2 linked regions of the Struthio camelus genome follow. The protein of the gene in region 2 purifies or fractionates together with the protein of the main gene of each other region. This does not show direct contact. Links are inferred from orthologs where the notes say so. Each region holds a gene or a part of one and is shown on either strand. Other genes may lie near its edges.

Region 1 (6,898 bases), on a different chromosome or scaffold from region 2:
AGTCTCGTTTTGTTTGCTCACAGGCGTGTAATTCGGGTCCTTATTATCACTGTTTTCACATTAATTACAAGCGCAGCTCTTGGTGCCAGAATCCATATGCACGAACATCAATTATCGCCTCTTTAAAATAAATAAAGAGCAGTCCCGGCTAAGTAAGTCGCTCAGGTACTCGGCAGCTCCGAGAGCTGCCTCGCGCCGCCGGCTGCCGGAGACGTCCAGGTCCCCGGCACAGCTCAGCTCGGGACGCCAGGGGACGGCTGCGGCCGGAGCCGCAGACACGGAGGGCAGCGGGACTCCCGTGCTGGACCCGGAGCCCCTAACAGGATGCCGTCCCCTCCAGCAAAAAGCTGAGAGGAGACTTCCCCTCTGCAGACAGCGAGCCCTTTAGCCGCGGAGATAGGCTGAAACTCCCAGTCAATATTTACCGTGCGTTTGCAAAGGCGCTCACAGCTCAACCTAATTTTAGCCATGGGACAGGCGTCGGGGCAGAAGGACCAGGAGAGGCGCCAAGGAGGGCGGCTGCAAAGCCGCAGAGATGCCCCTCTCCAAAGGCACGGGGCACGTCCCGCCTGACGCGGCCCGGAGAGCGGCAGCGGCCCGAGGTCACAGCCAGCGCGCAAATCGGCCTGAACGCGCTCTTTGCTGGGGGGGGGGGGGGGGGGGGACAAAAAGTGCAAAAACATTTGAAGTACAATTAATTTCTTGGAGCAGCTGATACTTCAAACAGCGCTAAGTTAATTTGGCTGTAATTATTTAACAACTCAGCAGTCCCCTATATCACAAGAAGGACTTAATTCATCAGCTATTTTCAAGCAGAACAAAGGCTCGCCAGCTTCCAGGTAACAGCCCAAGCTGTTTGGCTCACGTGACCCCGTCTGAGCTGCGCACCGCAAACATTATACGCCTGTGCACGCAGATAAAAGAAATCAAAAAAAAAAAATGTATTTATGCATTTACATCTCAACCAACAGACACAGGGTAATGAAAACCAAAGTTTGCACGACCGCTCACTCGCATGAGCGGAGCTGCCGTCATCTCCCTCGACGCCCTGCGAGCCAAGGCAGCGGGCAGGGCCCGAGCCAAAGGCTGCCGAAAACCAGGGTTTTAGCCCCCAATTCGACTGGGCCCTCAATACTTCAAGAGCAAAGCCCACCTGCCCAGCCTGACTCACTGCTGCAGCGAGCGCCAAGCAGAAAGAGCCACTCGAGAGCAGACACTGGCCGCAGCGGCCCCCAAGCCCCTTAAAACACAAAGGGTCGCTCCAACCCTGTTATTTTAATAAATGGATTTCCTTTTTACACGCTGCAAGGAACAGAGGCTTTTTTTTTTTTTTGGACCAAAAGCAACCAGGAGCCTTCCTCCGAGGCGGCCTTGGGAGTCGGCGCGGGGAAGCGACGCAAGCGCCCCTGGATCGATGCCTTTTATTTTCACTCGGGTATAAATCTGGGCAACGGAGTGGCTCTGCAATTGTCCACTCAGCCAGCCATATCAGATTGATCAAAAAAGGAGGACTGGAAAGCGACTGAGCGAGCGCCAGCAGTGCCAGAGTGGAAGGTTGCTAGGGGAGAAATAACAGGAAAGAGAAAGGGGGAGAAAGGGGAGGCTACCAAAAAGAAAAAAAAAAAAGTAGAAGATGGAAAAAGTATCAAGTCAGTGGAAGAAAGAGGCTGTGCAGGAAGAAACAAGGAGGGAGGTGAAAAAAAACCACATGCCTACCACGGAAAACAGCAAACAAGAGCCTGGGAAATAAGGAAGGCAGTATTCCTTTACCTATTAAAGCCATAGGAGAAGAAAACCTAAGAGCAAGCAGCAGCAGAAGTCTGGTGTTTTGCCTCTCCTGATTTCAAGAATTAGGAAACGATCGCCCGCCGAAGAAGGAAAGCACACGCTAAAAGCAAAAACGCCTGCGAAACCCAGCTAGGAAAGCTGAATTTAAAAACCAAAAAAAAAAAGAAAAAAAAGAAAAAAGCCGGGACGTGCTTATTTGACTTCTCTTCAAACACAGCACCCTCTCCGTGACATAAAACCCCGAAATACAAACCCAACCGCGCGAACGAGGAGCTGCCGCCCCAGCGCTGCCCAAACGACATGAATTCTGCGGAATTGCCAGGGAAAGTCCCGTCCCCCCCCCCTTGCCCCCCGCGGATGCCGGGGGGGGGGGTTCACGGGCCCCCTTTCCGCAGGAGCGGGCGCTCCCCGGGGCCCTGCCGTGCGCTGCTCGGCCGCTTCCCCGAGCCCCGGCGCGCAGCCCGGCCGCGCACGCAGCGGCGCAACTTTTCTCACGGCCGCAAGTTACACGCGCCGCCGCGCTGCCTCCGCGCGGGTTTGCTTGCGTGCTGGGGTTGGGCTTGGGTTTTTTCCTCTCCCCCCCCACCCCCAATCTCGCTTCTTCTTCTTCCTCCTTTTCTCTGAAAGGGATTGAAGCGCGCTGCGCGCAGCTCGCGGCGCTGGGGGCCCCGGGGCGCGGAGCCGGGCGCGCACCGCCCGCGACCCCCGCGCAGCGCCGCGGCAAAGGGCCGCCCGCCGCCAAAGCCTAGCGACTGCAGTCCTTAATAATAACGGGAATAACAGGGTCCTCCGCCCCCGTGGAGGCAGCCCCCGCCGGACATATCCCCCCCCCGTCCTCCTCCCCCCAAGACCCCGGCCGCGGTTTTGCTCGCCGCCCGCTTTCACTTCCCCGCGGGACCAAACTCGCGGCGTTTGCGCGGCCGCGGAGAAGTTGGAGGGAGGCGGGCGAGCCGCTGCGCGCTCCCCCTCCGCGGGGAGCAAACAGCAAAATAATAAGTAGCTGGTGCCTGAATACTTCTTTTTTCCCCCCCCCCCCCTTTTCTTTTTCCGCGCTCCTCTCCGCGCACCCGGCCGGGGGGAGGGAGGAGGGGGGCGAAAGCGGGGCCCCTCCGCGGGGGAGATCGCGCACCCACCTGCCTGCGCCGCGGCGGCCCGCGGGGAGCCGGCCGCCGCCGCCAGGACGCAGCTCCACCACAGCAGCCCCCCGGCCGCCGCCGCCGCCGCCGGCATCGCGCCGCCGCCGCCGGGGCAGCTCCGCTCCGCTCCGCTCAGCTCAGCGCTGCCGCCATCGCCTCCGCGCAGCCCCGCGCAGCGCCCGAAAGTTGTCCGCCGCCCCCCCCCCCCTCCGCGGGCGCGCTGCGGCGGCGGGGGAAGCAGCCAGGCGGCGCGGCGCCCGCTGCGGGGAAATACGCGCGCGGGCGCCGCGCGGAGCGGAGCACCAGCACCAGCAGCAGGAGGAGGAGGAGGAGGAGCGGGAGGAAGGAGGGCGGGAGCGGGGCGGGGGCCGGCGGCGCGCTGGCCCGCCCCGCCGCGCCGCGCCGCGCTGCGCCCGCCCGCACCTGCGGAGCGCGCCGCGTACCTGCGCGCTCGGGGCGGCGGCGGCTGCCACCGTGCGGGCGCGGAGCAGCGCGGGGGCGACGGTGCGCGGCCGGGTGCGCGCGGTTGGACCCGGCAAAAGTGAGGGGCGGCGCGTGCTTGCCCGCGCGTGGGCGCGCTCGCTGTGCTTCGCCTCCGCGTTTTTTGCGCGCCCGCTTTCCCCCGCAGAAGGCAGCGGCGGGTGCGCGCAGCTGCGCCTGTGCCCCACTTCCCCCCCCCCCCCCGCCCCCGCGCCCCGTGCAAAAATACGGGCTGGATGCGCGCTTCGACGCGGCGAGGGTGGGGGGCGACACGCCGCGTCGGGGCGCGCCGCCGCGCGTCGCCCGCCCGTGCGAGAAGGCCGCGGACGCCTCCGGTGCGAGGCGGGACCGGCGGAGCGAAGGCAGCCGGCTCCGGGAACGGCAGCCTGCCACGGGCTTTGCCCTGCCACAGGCTTTGCCCTGCCACGGGCTTTGCCGCTTCGCGGCCAGCGCGGCGCTCGGCGGGTGGGCGGCCGGGCCGGGGGGACGCAGCGCCCCGGCTCGCGGTGGGCCGTGCGGCTGGAAGTCACCGGGGAGAGGGGAGAGGAGAGCAGAGGAAGAGCCTTAATTGAGCAATCAGAAGAGCCAGCGCTCAGCTTAAAATCCACCCTAAAATCCATTCACGCTCCCCGTAGCCTCCCCCACGAAGCGTCTTTCCCCGTGACCCAACGGTCCCCCCAAAGGGCAGCTTCCCGGCACCCGCGATTCCCGCCCGAACTAAACCGAGCCGACGGCGCGGCACGCTGATCTGGGCAGGTCCCCGTTAACGTCCGTCACCTGCCTGCCGTCCCCGTCCCCGGGAGGGAGCTGGCCGTCGAAAACTGCCCGACCCAGAGCGGAAAGAAGCCGCCGGCCGGTATTTTGCCCGAATCGGACAACTGTGAGCGCAATGGCTCCCAGGGGGGAGCCCGCTCGCTGCGGGACGTAGGCTGTCGCCACCAAAGCGGAGGCTGCTGCTGCTCGCGTTCACCCCGATGCGGCCAAGCGCCGAAAATCCTAGCCGAAATGAATTAATGGCCGAGGGGCGAGCAGCGCGGGCGAGCGGCCGAGGCCGGGGCGAGCTTCGCGTTGCGGGACGGGGAGGCCGCGCGCGAGCCCTTTCGGGCGGCCGAGCCCCTCCGCAGGGCAGCACGAGGAGCCGAGCCTGCCTCTTCCCTGCGCGCCGGTTATTCGGGCCGCGAGAACGAGGAGCCGGCCCCGCTCCCGCCGGAGCAGCAAGGCGAAGCCTCTCGCCGCCTAATTCCTTTCCGTCGCGTCCGCGGAGCCGACGGGAGGCGGCGAGACTAAACTCCTTCAAATATTTAAATAGAAAACTTGCGCTCCAGCCGCCTTTCAGCAAACAGTGACTAATTGCTCCGGCTGGGGCTGCCGTACCCGCAGGATCGGTGGCGGCAGATCCAGCGGAGATACCCGGGGCTCCTCACCTAACGCTGCCTGTACAGTCATCGGAAAGGTTTGCTGGGCAAAGTTGGCCACGCAAAGCAATTGCCGCCCTTCCCACACCGCCCTCGTGTTTGTGGAGTACGTGAGCCTCGCCTGGGCTCTCCCACCGGGAGCCGAGCAGCCAGCGTTGGCTTTTTTAGAGCCCGGGGCGATGCAAGTGAGTTATCACGCCGTCCTCCATCCTTGACGCCGCCACCTTGACCGGTGGCCAGGGCACTTAGCGCCGCGAGCGGAGGAGTTGCGAGTACCGCCAGCGCCGGGGCGCGACGTCGCAGCCTGGGGCGCGGGGCGTCTTTAAGCTCCCAATACCCTCTGGCCGGCCGCAGGAGTTTTTTTTATTTTTTCCGTGTGATTTAATATTGAGCAACAGTGGCATCCGGTGGGCAGAGCGTTTCCTCTCCGACAGCCCGTGGCAGCGCTCTCCCTCTGGTTTGACTTACGTGTCCTGCAGATTATTATTAAACACGATTTATCTGGATTTAGGGATTCCCCCCCGCTCCCGGCCCCTATCTCCAGGCCGTCCTTCAGCGGCGCACCAGACGCAGCCGGGGCGATTTCTGCCCCCAAAACGTTACGGTTTTGGTTTAAACGCGCTCGGTGGCCCCCTGCTCTCTAATCCAGAGGCAGGAAGGATTTACTCGGTCGCCGGCTCCCTCCGCGCTTTGTCCTCGCTGCAATTTTAAATCGCTCCGGCCATAAGCGTCCCCCCGCTCGCCCGCGACTCCGAAACGCTAGATTTTCTGAGAAGCGCCTTAAAACGCCTCTGCCCCGTCGCAGCACTGATCTCCGGCCGCTGGCCCACCCCGAGGCAATAGGTTTTGTTCGGCCCCCGCAAAATCGTAGCCGCTCTGCCCAGCGTTGCCCGGCTCGCGCTTCTGGAGGGGGGAAGGAGGAAACGTGCCTGCGTTTCCCCGCCGGCTCCAGCGCCGCTGAAACCGCCCTCGCTGCTGCCTTCAGCTCCTCCTGGCTCCGTGTCCTGCTCGGACGTGATGAACACAGTGTTTACCGTGCCCTCCCAGTCATTAATGAAGCTGCTAATTAAAGGCAGGCCCGAGGAGGAAGGCAGCGAGGCCCCGCGGCGTCGCTCCCCTCCGGCGTTCCCCCTTCCCTCTGCGCTTAGGTGCCTTGCAGGCCATCTGACGGTCCTCGTGCCGCCGGCGTTCGCAGAGTCCCCTCCCGCCAAGTAGCTCGCTTTTATGGCACAGCCGCAGCTTTCGCTAATCCTCCACGAAATGACTTTCTTTTTTTTTTTTTCTTTTTTTTTTTTTTCCCCTAAAGTAATCTTTTTTCTTGAGAGGTTGAATTAAAAAGGGTCATAAATGACTTGCAAGCCTAATGGTAATTAATAAAACTGAAGAAATAATTGGCCGTTATTTTTACACGTATATGCCTAGAGTCAAACTCCTAAATCCCCGTGTCGGTGGGAGAGGGCTGGGTTTCCCCCCACCACGAAGCAGCAGCCGCGGTTCCCGGGGCCGTACCAGCGGTGTTAAGAAAGACGCACGCAAAAGGCTGGGGAAAACGCCGAGTGATGGAGCAACGCTCCCCAAAGCCGCAAAGCTGAGCCAAGGGAGAGCGTGCCGGAGCACAGCACAGGCAGAAAGGCAGCTACCGCCCCTCCGTGGGCCGACGAGGATATCCAGATGTCCGGCGTGGATGGAAACCGGTGCTTTGGAAGCTCCTGAGCTACTTACTCTCGAAAAACAGCACATTTAACCCATCGCGCTTGCCCCCGCTGGAGACCCGAGCCCGGGAGCTCGCGCAGGAGTTCGGAAAGGGATGAGGCATTTAAGGGCAAGGCAGTTATATACACGTAGGTAAAAAAAACCAGAAGCGATAATAGTCTTTCGTGGCTCAGAGCATAAATCAGCCTTTTACTGCTTTCCCTTCAGCCACAAACACCTAACTCAGGGGATTTTTTTTTTTTTTTTTTAAATATCCGTTTGCGAAGTATCCGGACGAGACCGTTCCCAGGGAGCGGAGGCGGCACCGTCGCTCTGGCCCGGCACCGTAAAGCCGAGGATGCCGCCGCGCCGCGGGCCTCCAGCCCT
Region 2 (7,283 bases):
AGTCTTGTTGACAAAATATACAGCATGATTAAGTCAGTCCCAGAACTCTGCCTAGTGTGCAAGAGCCACATTTCTAACAGTTCAAACAAAGGCTTTATCTGAAACACACTGAAAATCGACTCCAAGCACTGCTTCAGCATTGTGGCACTAATTAAGAAGGAAAAAAAAAAAAGATAAACTGCTGGGGAAGGGTTTTCTAAAGCACTTTAACAAAGTTAAAGCACAGCCACCAAAAGTCAGGGAGAATAGGATTTAGCTCACCTCACTTAGCCATCTAACATGCCCAAGCTTATCACCCCGGCACAGCAGCAGGCAGGAGGCAGACACCTTTGGCAGGAGACATGGGATGCCCGGCTACAACCGCCTGTCTCGTCCTGCTCCCTCCTGAGGGACCCCAGCGAGGGGGTCCACGGGACCCACATGCTAGGACTGCATCCCCATACTGGTCTGGGGCTCCTGCACATCTTAACATTTGCCTTTGACTTCTTTAAAAAGGCACGTGCAAAATAAAAACTGACTGACACATTTACATGGAGATAAAGTCATGTTTCTTCAGCATACGGTGTTTTTATAGAGAACATTAAACAACTATTCAAAATGAGTTAGCAACCCACTGCACCAGAAATTAGCGTTTATGAGCCTATGAATCATGAAAGATGAGTGCCTTGGTTTTGTTTCTCTAAACTTAAATAATTGATTTTTAGTGTATTAGAATACTACTTTAAAAACAAAGTACATAAGTAAATAGCTTAAATGTCTGCCTTCTATATTCATTAGGAAAAAGGAAGAAACATGAGTTTTGCATTGTCAGATACAAAAGCCATCACAAACTTCCACTTTAGCTAATTCTTTGGTTAGTTTAGAATTTACAGAGTGACAAATCATATTTTATCTAAGTGGTTAAACGATCAACAGCCCACAGGTCTGTAGTAGTAGATTTATATGCATGATGAGTTCACCAATAAAATTTAAACTGAACTCAAGACATTCAAAAATCTGTTCCATATGAATAAGACACTCGTCGGTATTAGCACTCCTGAAAAAAACACAATAAGTTTGTTCAAACTGGGCTATAAATACATTTCTCTACGTGAATAAAGATGCACTGTCCTATTTTAAAAGGACTTTGGAATTCTGGAATTATGGGGAGAAAATTAAAAACTTTATATGAAGATTATCTAAGGCTGAATGAAGGATCTGTACTGTGCAAGAGAACACAGCAACAGGTGAACACGATGAGTCAGGCATTGGACTACGAAGGGCCAAACGCTAGTCTCAATAATTCAGCACAGCACCCAATAATTTCATGTAAAATAGGGCATTTCTGCAGCCAAAATGAATAATACCAAGAGAACCTGACAAACCCCTAATAATTCTATTTATTAAAAAGTTGGACAATCTCCAACAATACCGCAGTGACCATTTTCTCTCCCGACAGAGGTACGGAGTATCTGTTACAGCTAGAAATTTTATAGATTTAATGGAAGAGCTGAGACACTTTCCTCTCCCTTCCTGGGTCTTCATTTCCAGAGGTTAAGGAGCTAATAGTTAAGGACACTTACTTATATGAGTGTATGAACACACACACTCCCAGTTCTGATGTATTAAGACTGTCAAATGAATTGAGCTGTCAAAGCCGAGCACACTTCCCCCCCCTTCACTTGTCTCATTTTATACTTCAGATCTTATCAGGTCAGGTCACAGCACAACACTCCGCAGTTACACAACAGGAGTAGATCCACTGCGCTTTACAGGAAATGGAAATTACACTGTTCTTCACTTGCTGAGTGTTTGTGTGTCTATACATTTAACTACTTTAAAATATCATTTTAGAGGGAAAAACCCGCAACGGCCCTTGACTAACCACTAGGTACCATAGCACACGTTTAGCTGCCATCTGCTAAACCATGACATTTGGCAGATTAGTATCTTCAACAAACAGACAAGAACAGAGGGAACCACAAGTAGCCAAGTGAGCTACAACTCTCACTCACAGCTTTTGAGAAAAATCAACTTCCTCACAAGCTCCCCAAAAGCACCATGACCACGCAATACAGTTTAGGAGCCCGCAAGTCCATTTCTGCCAACATTTTCCTGCTGACTTTCACACCTTAAGAGTTTATGGCTCAAAACACCAAAATCGAGCGCCTGGCCGGGAGCGCTCAGGTCCATATTTGGGCACCTTGCGAAGGGCCCGGTTCTCAGAGCCGCCGGGCAGAGCTCGGGCGCTCACCAGTTTTGAGAATCAGGCCATTTATTGACATGTCCAAATAAGGATTCAGGAGCCCAAGTCCAGTCATCCAAAGCTGGCCTTTTTATCTGCAGCACATCATATAATTAACAACAAGATCTGCTCTCATCTCTTCCCCCTACCCCCCATCCCGAGGGGTCAGTATAAAGGAACAGAAGGAAAATAAGTCTAAAAAGGGACCGGCTGAGAGAAAACAAACTCCCGCTCAGCCCAGTACAGCTGGAAACGCAACCACACGGCAACCTTTGCCTTATCTCCATCCCCCGTTCAACTTTGGAGGCAGATAAGAGGAACACCCGAGATTTCATACCATGCACTCAACAGCTATAAGCAGGCAGAAACTAGTGTCACTTAGAAGAAAGAAAAGGAAGGAGGGGAGAAAAATAAAAGGAAATTTGGGGATTTTTTTTTCCTTTTAGGAGAACTTCCGTGCGCTACCCTACCCGGCATAAAACACGCAACACCCAGGCCCTGCGCGGGGCAGCCCCTGCGCGACGGGCGAGCAAGGCCGCGCCGCCCGCCGCCCCCGGCCCCGCTCCGCCGCCCCCGCCCGTACTCACACGTGCCGCGGCCAGCGGGGCAGGTCCCGGGGCACTTGGGGCAGCGCCAGCCCGCCGCAGCCCAGCAGCTCGCCGCCGCCGCAGGCGCAGCCGGCCGGGCAGCCGGCGGAGGCGGCCGCGCAGCCCAGCAGCGCCAGCAGCAGCGCCGCCGCGGGCGCGCACCCACCGCCGCCCCGTAACGGCACCGCCATTTTGTATCCGGCACCGGAGCGGGGTCGGCGGCGGGCCGGGGGGGGGGCCCGGAGGAGGGAAGGGGGGGGCAGGCGCAGCAGTCCGCGCTAGCCCCGCGGAGCCCTGCGAGCACGGAGCGCTACGCCGCCCGCGGCATCGCCTCGGCCCCCGGCATCCACCCCCGGCGGGGCGGCGGGCCGCAGCCGCGCTCCCGGCGCCGACAAAGTTCCTCAGCGGCGGTGGCGGCGGCAGCAGCGGCGGGCGCCTTCTCCGCTTCCTCGCTCCGCGCAAGGGCGGCCTCAGCGCCGCTCGGCTCCGGCCCGCGCTCGCAGCGCCGCCCCCGCACGCCTCCGCTGGGCTGAGAGCCGCTGACGACCGGCCTCGCCGCTGCCGCCGCCGCTACTGCTGCTCCGCCGCCGGGCCGGCCCCACCGCGCTCGCTCCCGCTCCGGCCCCCGAGCGCCGCTCGCCTCAAACCCACGTTGGCTACATCGCACCGTGCGGCCGCGCCGCCCCCCGCGCCGCGCCGCCGCCCATTGGCTAGCGGCCGCTCGGCGGCCTGCCCGCACCGGCTGCGATTGGCCGCGCTGCGCCGCCCCCTGCCCCCTCCCCGCCACGGCTCCGCGGCGCCCCATTGAGGGCGGCCGCCCGTCAATCAGAGGCGCGAGGTCCCGCCCCCCTTTCCCACTCCAGGTGTGAACGCGGGAGCGTCCCCCCCGCCCCACGCCGCCCCTCTTAAAGGGGACGCTGCGGCCCGCGCCGCCTCGGGCGCGCCCTCCCCTCGGCGGGTGGGCAGCGCAGGGCCTGACCCTCCCCCCACCCCCACCCGCGTGTAACTTTCCCCAAATGGTTGAAAAGCCCCTGAGAGCGATCCCGAGGTGCTCAGCCACGGCCTGCGCTCTCTTGACCAAGTCCCCGCTGCGCTGTCACCAGCCTCTTGCCGCTGAGGTAAATCGGTGAGCTGCGCGTCGTCAGAATGAACTAATCGCTCGGGTGAACTTCGGACCCAACTGAAGTGGCCGTTTCCTAAATTTACCTTTTTTATTTTTTTTTTAAGCCAAGTCCCTGGTATGGCCGTTACTCTCGCGGCGCCTGCTGCCGGTGCAGCAGTGAGGGCCGTGCCTGGGCCTCGCGCCGCCAGGCCTCGTGTGGGCCCACGCAGGCACCAGGGCCGCTGCCCCTGCCGCGCGAGACAGGGCTTGGGTCGACTTTGGACCCGGCCCGTGCGGCGTTTTGGGGCAGGATGCTCCCGCTTTCCGCAATGCGGGCGGTGAGGCTGTTTAACCGCACGCAGTGGCCCTGCTTCGCAGCTGGAGTTATGTGGGGATAAAAGGGGTGTGATATTTTAGGGAGAGAAACAAATATCGTAGCCTGACCTTTCAAGTGTGGTTAGATTTCCATTCTCCAGTGCTGATTCTTCTCCATGGTGGGGCTGGAGACATATTCGGTTTTTGTAACAGGATGGGGCACTGTACCTAATCATGCTGCTCATCTTCCAGAAGCGGCATATATCTTAAAATAAAATAGCACGCGTGAGGGGAATTTTGTTAAGGTGTGTTCGGAGTGGTACCCAAGCTGCACAAACATGCCACCTCTTGAAAAGCAGCAAACAGAGGCTGAGCTCATCTAGAGAAAGTCAGCTCATCAGCGTGTGGGTGTGATGGCAAATCTGCTGGTAGCCCAGTTGAAGCAGAAGCCAGAGCTGTTCAGTTTGGCACCCAGGCTGCCACCCAGTCACTGCTGTTCACCTGCCACCAGCTATGCGGCCCTCAAGCTGAATTCGGGAAGCATCTCTTTTCCAGGCGGGTAGAAATAGGACTCCGAGTTTTGGCAGCGCCCCGAGTCTAGCGAGGAGCATGAAGTCATGTCTACTCTCCATACCCGTGTATGGAAATCTGCCCAAACTGACAGCATCGCCTTCCTTGGCTGGAGAGCGCGTGAGGCAAGAGCTGTGCCGCGGCAGGGCTGCACAAGGCCCGCAGGCTCCAACGGGAAACCCACCCGCGGCTCCCACGGCTCTCGCAGTGGCGGCAGTGGCTGTGCTTCACTCCAGTAAAGCTCCTAACTGTCAGCCCCCCCTCGCTCCATGGAGAAGCTTCAGTTACCAGCTGCCGGGTCTGGTCTTCATGCCATGGCTCTATTTGTAGCCCACAGGCGTTCACACATGCTTCCCAGACAGCGCTAGCAACAAATTCTCCATTTTGCCTTTTCTCCTGTGCAAGATGTGGGAAACCTGCTCCTAATTTGCCAGAATGAGAGGGTTTTGGCTGCTGTGCCCCATAGCTAAGGATCCTTCAGGTCTCCCAGTAAAGCTCTCCCCGGCAGGGGCAACCAAGGTTGAGCAGGTTGAGTGGTTCTGCCCTCTCCTGTGCTGGGTAACTTTTTTGCCACTGAAATAGTTTGGTTCCTACTTAATTAATTCCTTTTTTTTTTTAATTCATGCTTAATTAATTCTCCAAATTAATTATAGATAAGGAATGCAAGATAGGAAACATTATCATCTACTGACAGGGGAACTGAAGGGGAGTAGAGATTGCAGGCCAGCCTCTCAGAGTGGCAAAAAGTTTGGACTTTTTAACATCAGGCTTCAGTGGTCCTGCCTATAGTCCCAATGAGCCAAAAACTGGGCAAAGGTCTTATGAGTCCCTTTCCTTCTACTTTGATGGTGTGAGAGGAAGGTGTGAGAGGAGACGCATCTTATTTTTGGAAGCTGTGACTCTGAATGAGGACTTCTGCTTCTTCTGCTTGTTTTCCTTCTTTTCTTACAGATTTCTTCTTTGTTTCTTCCAGATTCATCAGTGGTGCTGCTGTATTTCATCTGACAGGGCACAGAGATCTTCTTGCCTACTGGGACTACCTTGGTAATTACTATAAGAAATGGATATGAGGCTACAGATAGGCATTACACAAAGGTATCTTAGGCTAAAAGTGATGCTCTTTGTTCTAACTTGTGTCAGAGACATCACTAAGGGGCAGCCCTTTATATATTGATGTGTTTCCAGTTCACATAAATGATAAGTTTATGATCACTTGGGATTACATTTATATACCTTGATTCATTGCCATTACAATTGCCTAATGAACATGTGTGCACTTGTTTGATACATAGCAAATGGTGTGTACATGCCACTAAGTTATGTAGCCAACCACCTGCTGTAAACAACATTCAAAGTTGTCCTCAGACCCGTAGAGCAACGAGGCTTTGGCCACGTGGGTGGTGCACAGTACTTCTGCCCCCCCTGAACCTTTGTATCATTCCTCTTGGCTACTTCCTCTTCTGGGATTAGCACGTGCAGTGTGTGCATTGGTGAAAAGATGTGCATGCAAAAATCATACCAAAGAGAAATGGGAAAAAAGGAAAGAAGAGAAATGAGAAAAATAGAAAGAAGTCTGGAAATCCGGAGGGAGAAAGAGATTTGGCCTTGGAAGATGACATGGATGAAATCTAGAAACTGAATTTATTGATGTCCTTGTGGGGAAGGATCTTAGTCCGGTATGGACACTTTATGATTTTCACGTCCCTCCAGAAAGCTCGACCATCTACTGCAAAAAGAAGTGTTAACTATCACTGGAGTAGCGTTTCCCTTTTCTTTCCTATTTACTCTTGCCAGTCCATCTGCACAGCAACTATCTGGCTTTTGGGACAGCCTTGAAGGGATCGGATTGCAGAGATAAACAGGAGATTCTTAACCTCTAGAAAGGCTTCTCCCATCCAGCACGGAGGTTACTGAGTCCTTCAGGCACTCTATATCCGCAGACAGAGTTGCACTCGTGGGTGGCCAAGCCCCATGCGCTGAGCCCTCGCAATGCTCACCAGCTCTCATGCCCTCTGTAACCAGCTGTCTCCAAGATCTCTGCTCAGAAAGTGTTTCACAGGGGCAGCCAGGGTCTTTTGGGCCCTGCTGCCATGCAAAGACTTTCTGTTAGGTCCCTGATGGCAAACAGACCTTCCAGTGTAGACACTGCATATATTGTCTGGGCTAGGCCCTAAATCTTTCTAGGAAGAATCAATAGGCATTATTTATAGACCTGGGCTTTTTCTAGCTAAAACTTTGAGGGTTAGGCTTTTGCTACACCAAGAAATAAAAAATTCACAGCAGTGTGGCTTTGGATCCTATTTCAGCCTTCAAGAAGGGGAGAAGATAGGAGAATAGCTTAGGTGTAGTCCTTTACTGTATTTGAAAGTTGTTTGTGAACTAAGAGCAAACAGTTCCTGTCCCTGTGGAGGGAACCTCAGTCAGGAAGGGTAGATGTATTACAGAAAATACTACAGACTTACAAAAATATATAGCCAATTAAAAA

Evidence for each region. The genes of interacting proteins can lie anywhere in the genome.
Region 1: the proteins of LRIG1 (region 2) and ERBB4 purify together in Homo sapiens (affinity purification with western blotting; 3 studies listed by BioGRID and IntAct, with this or other methods). This does not show direct contact. The link is inferred for Struthio camelus from reciprocal best matches to the Homo sapiens genes LRIG1 and ERBB4.

Annotation. Positions count from the first base shown.
Region 1 is NC_090947.1:5,984,285-5,991,182, reverse strand, and holds the start of ERBB4 (receptor tyrosine-protein kinase erbB-4), read right to left. Parts: upstream 3,019-6,898; coding exon 2,922-3,018; intron 1,849-2,921; exon of another isoform or gene 1,784-1,848; coding exon of another isoform or gene 1,771-1,783; intron 1-1,770. UniProt on the Homo sapiens protein: Tyrosine-protein kinase that plays an essential role as cell surface receptor for neuregulins and EGF family members and regulates development of the heart, the central nervous system and the mammary gland, gene transcription, cell proliferation, differentiation, migration and apoptosis.
Region 2 is NC_090955.1:13,778,702-13,785,984, forward strand, and holds the start of LRIG1 (leucine-rich repeats and immunoglobulin-like domains protein 1), read right to left. Parts: upstream 3,018-7,283; 5' UTR 3,003-3,017; coding exon 2,812-3,002; intron 1-2,811. UniProt on the Homo sapiens protein: Acts as a feedback negative regulator of signaling by receptor tyrosine kinases, through a mechanism that involves enhancement of receptor ubiquitination and accelerated intracellular degradation.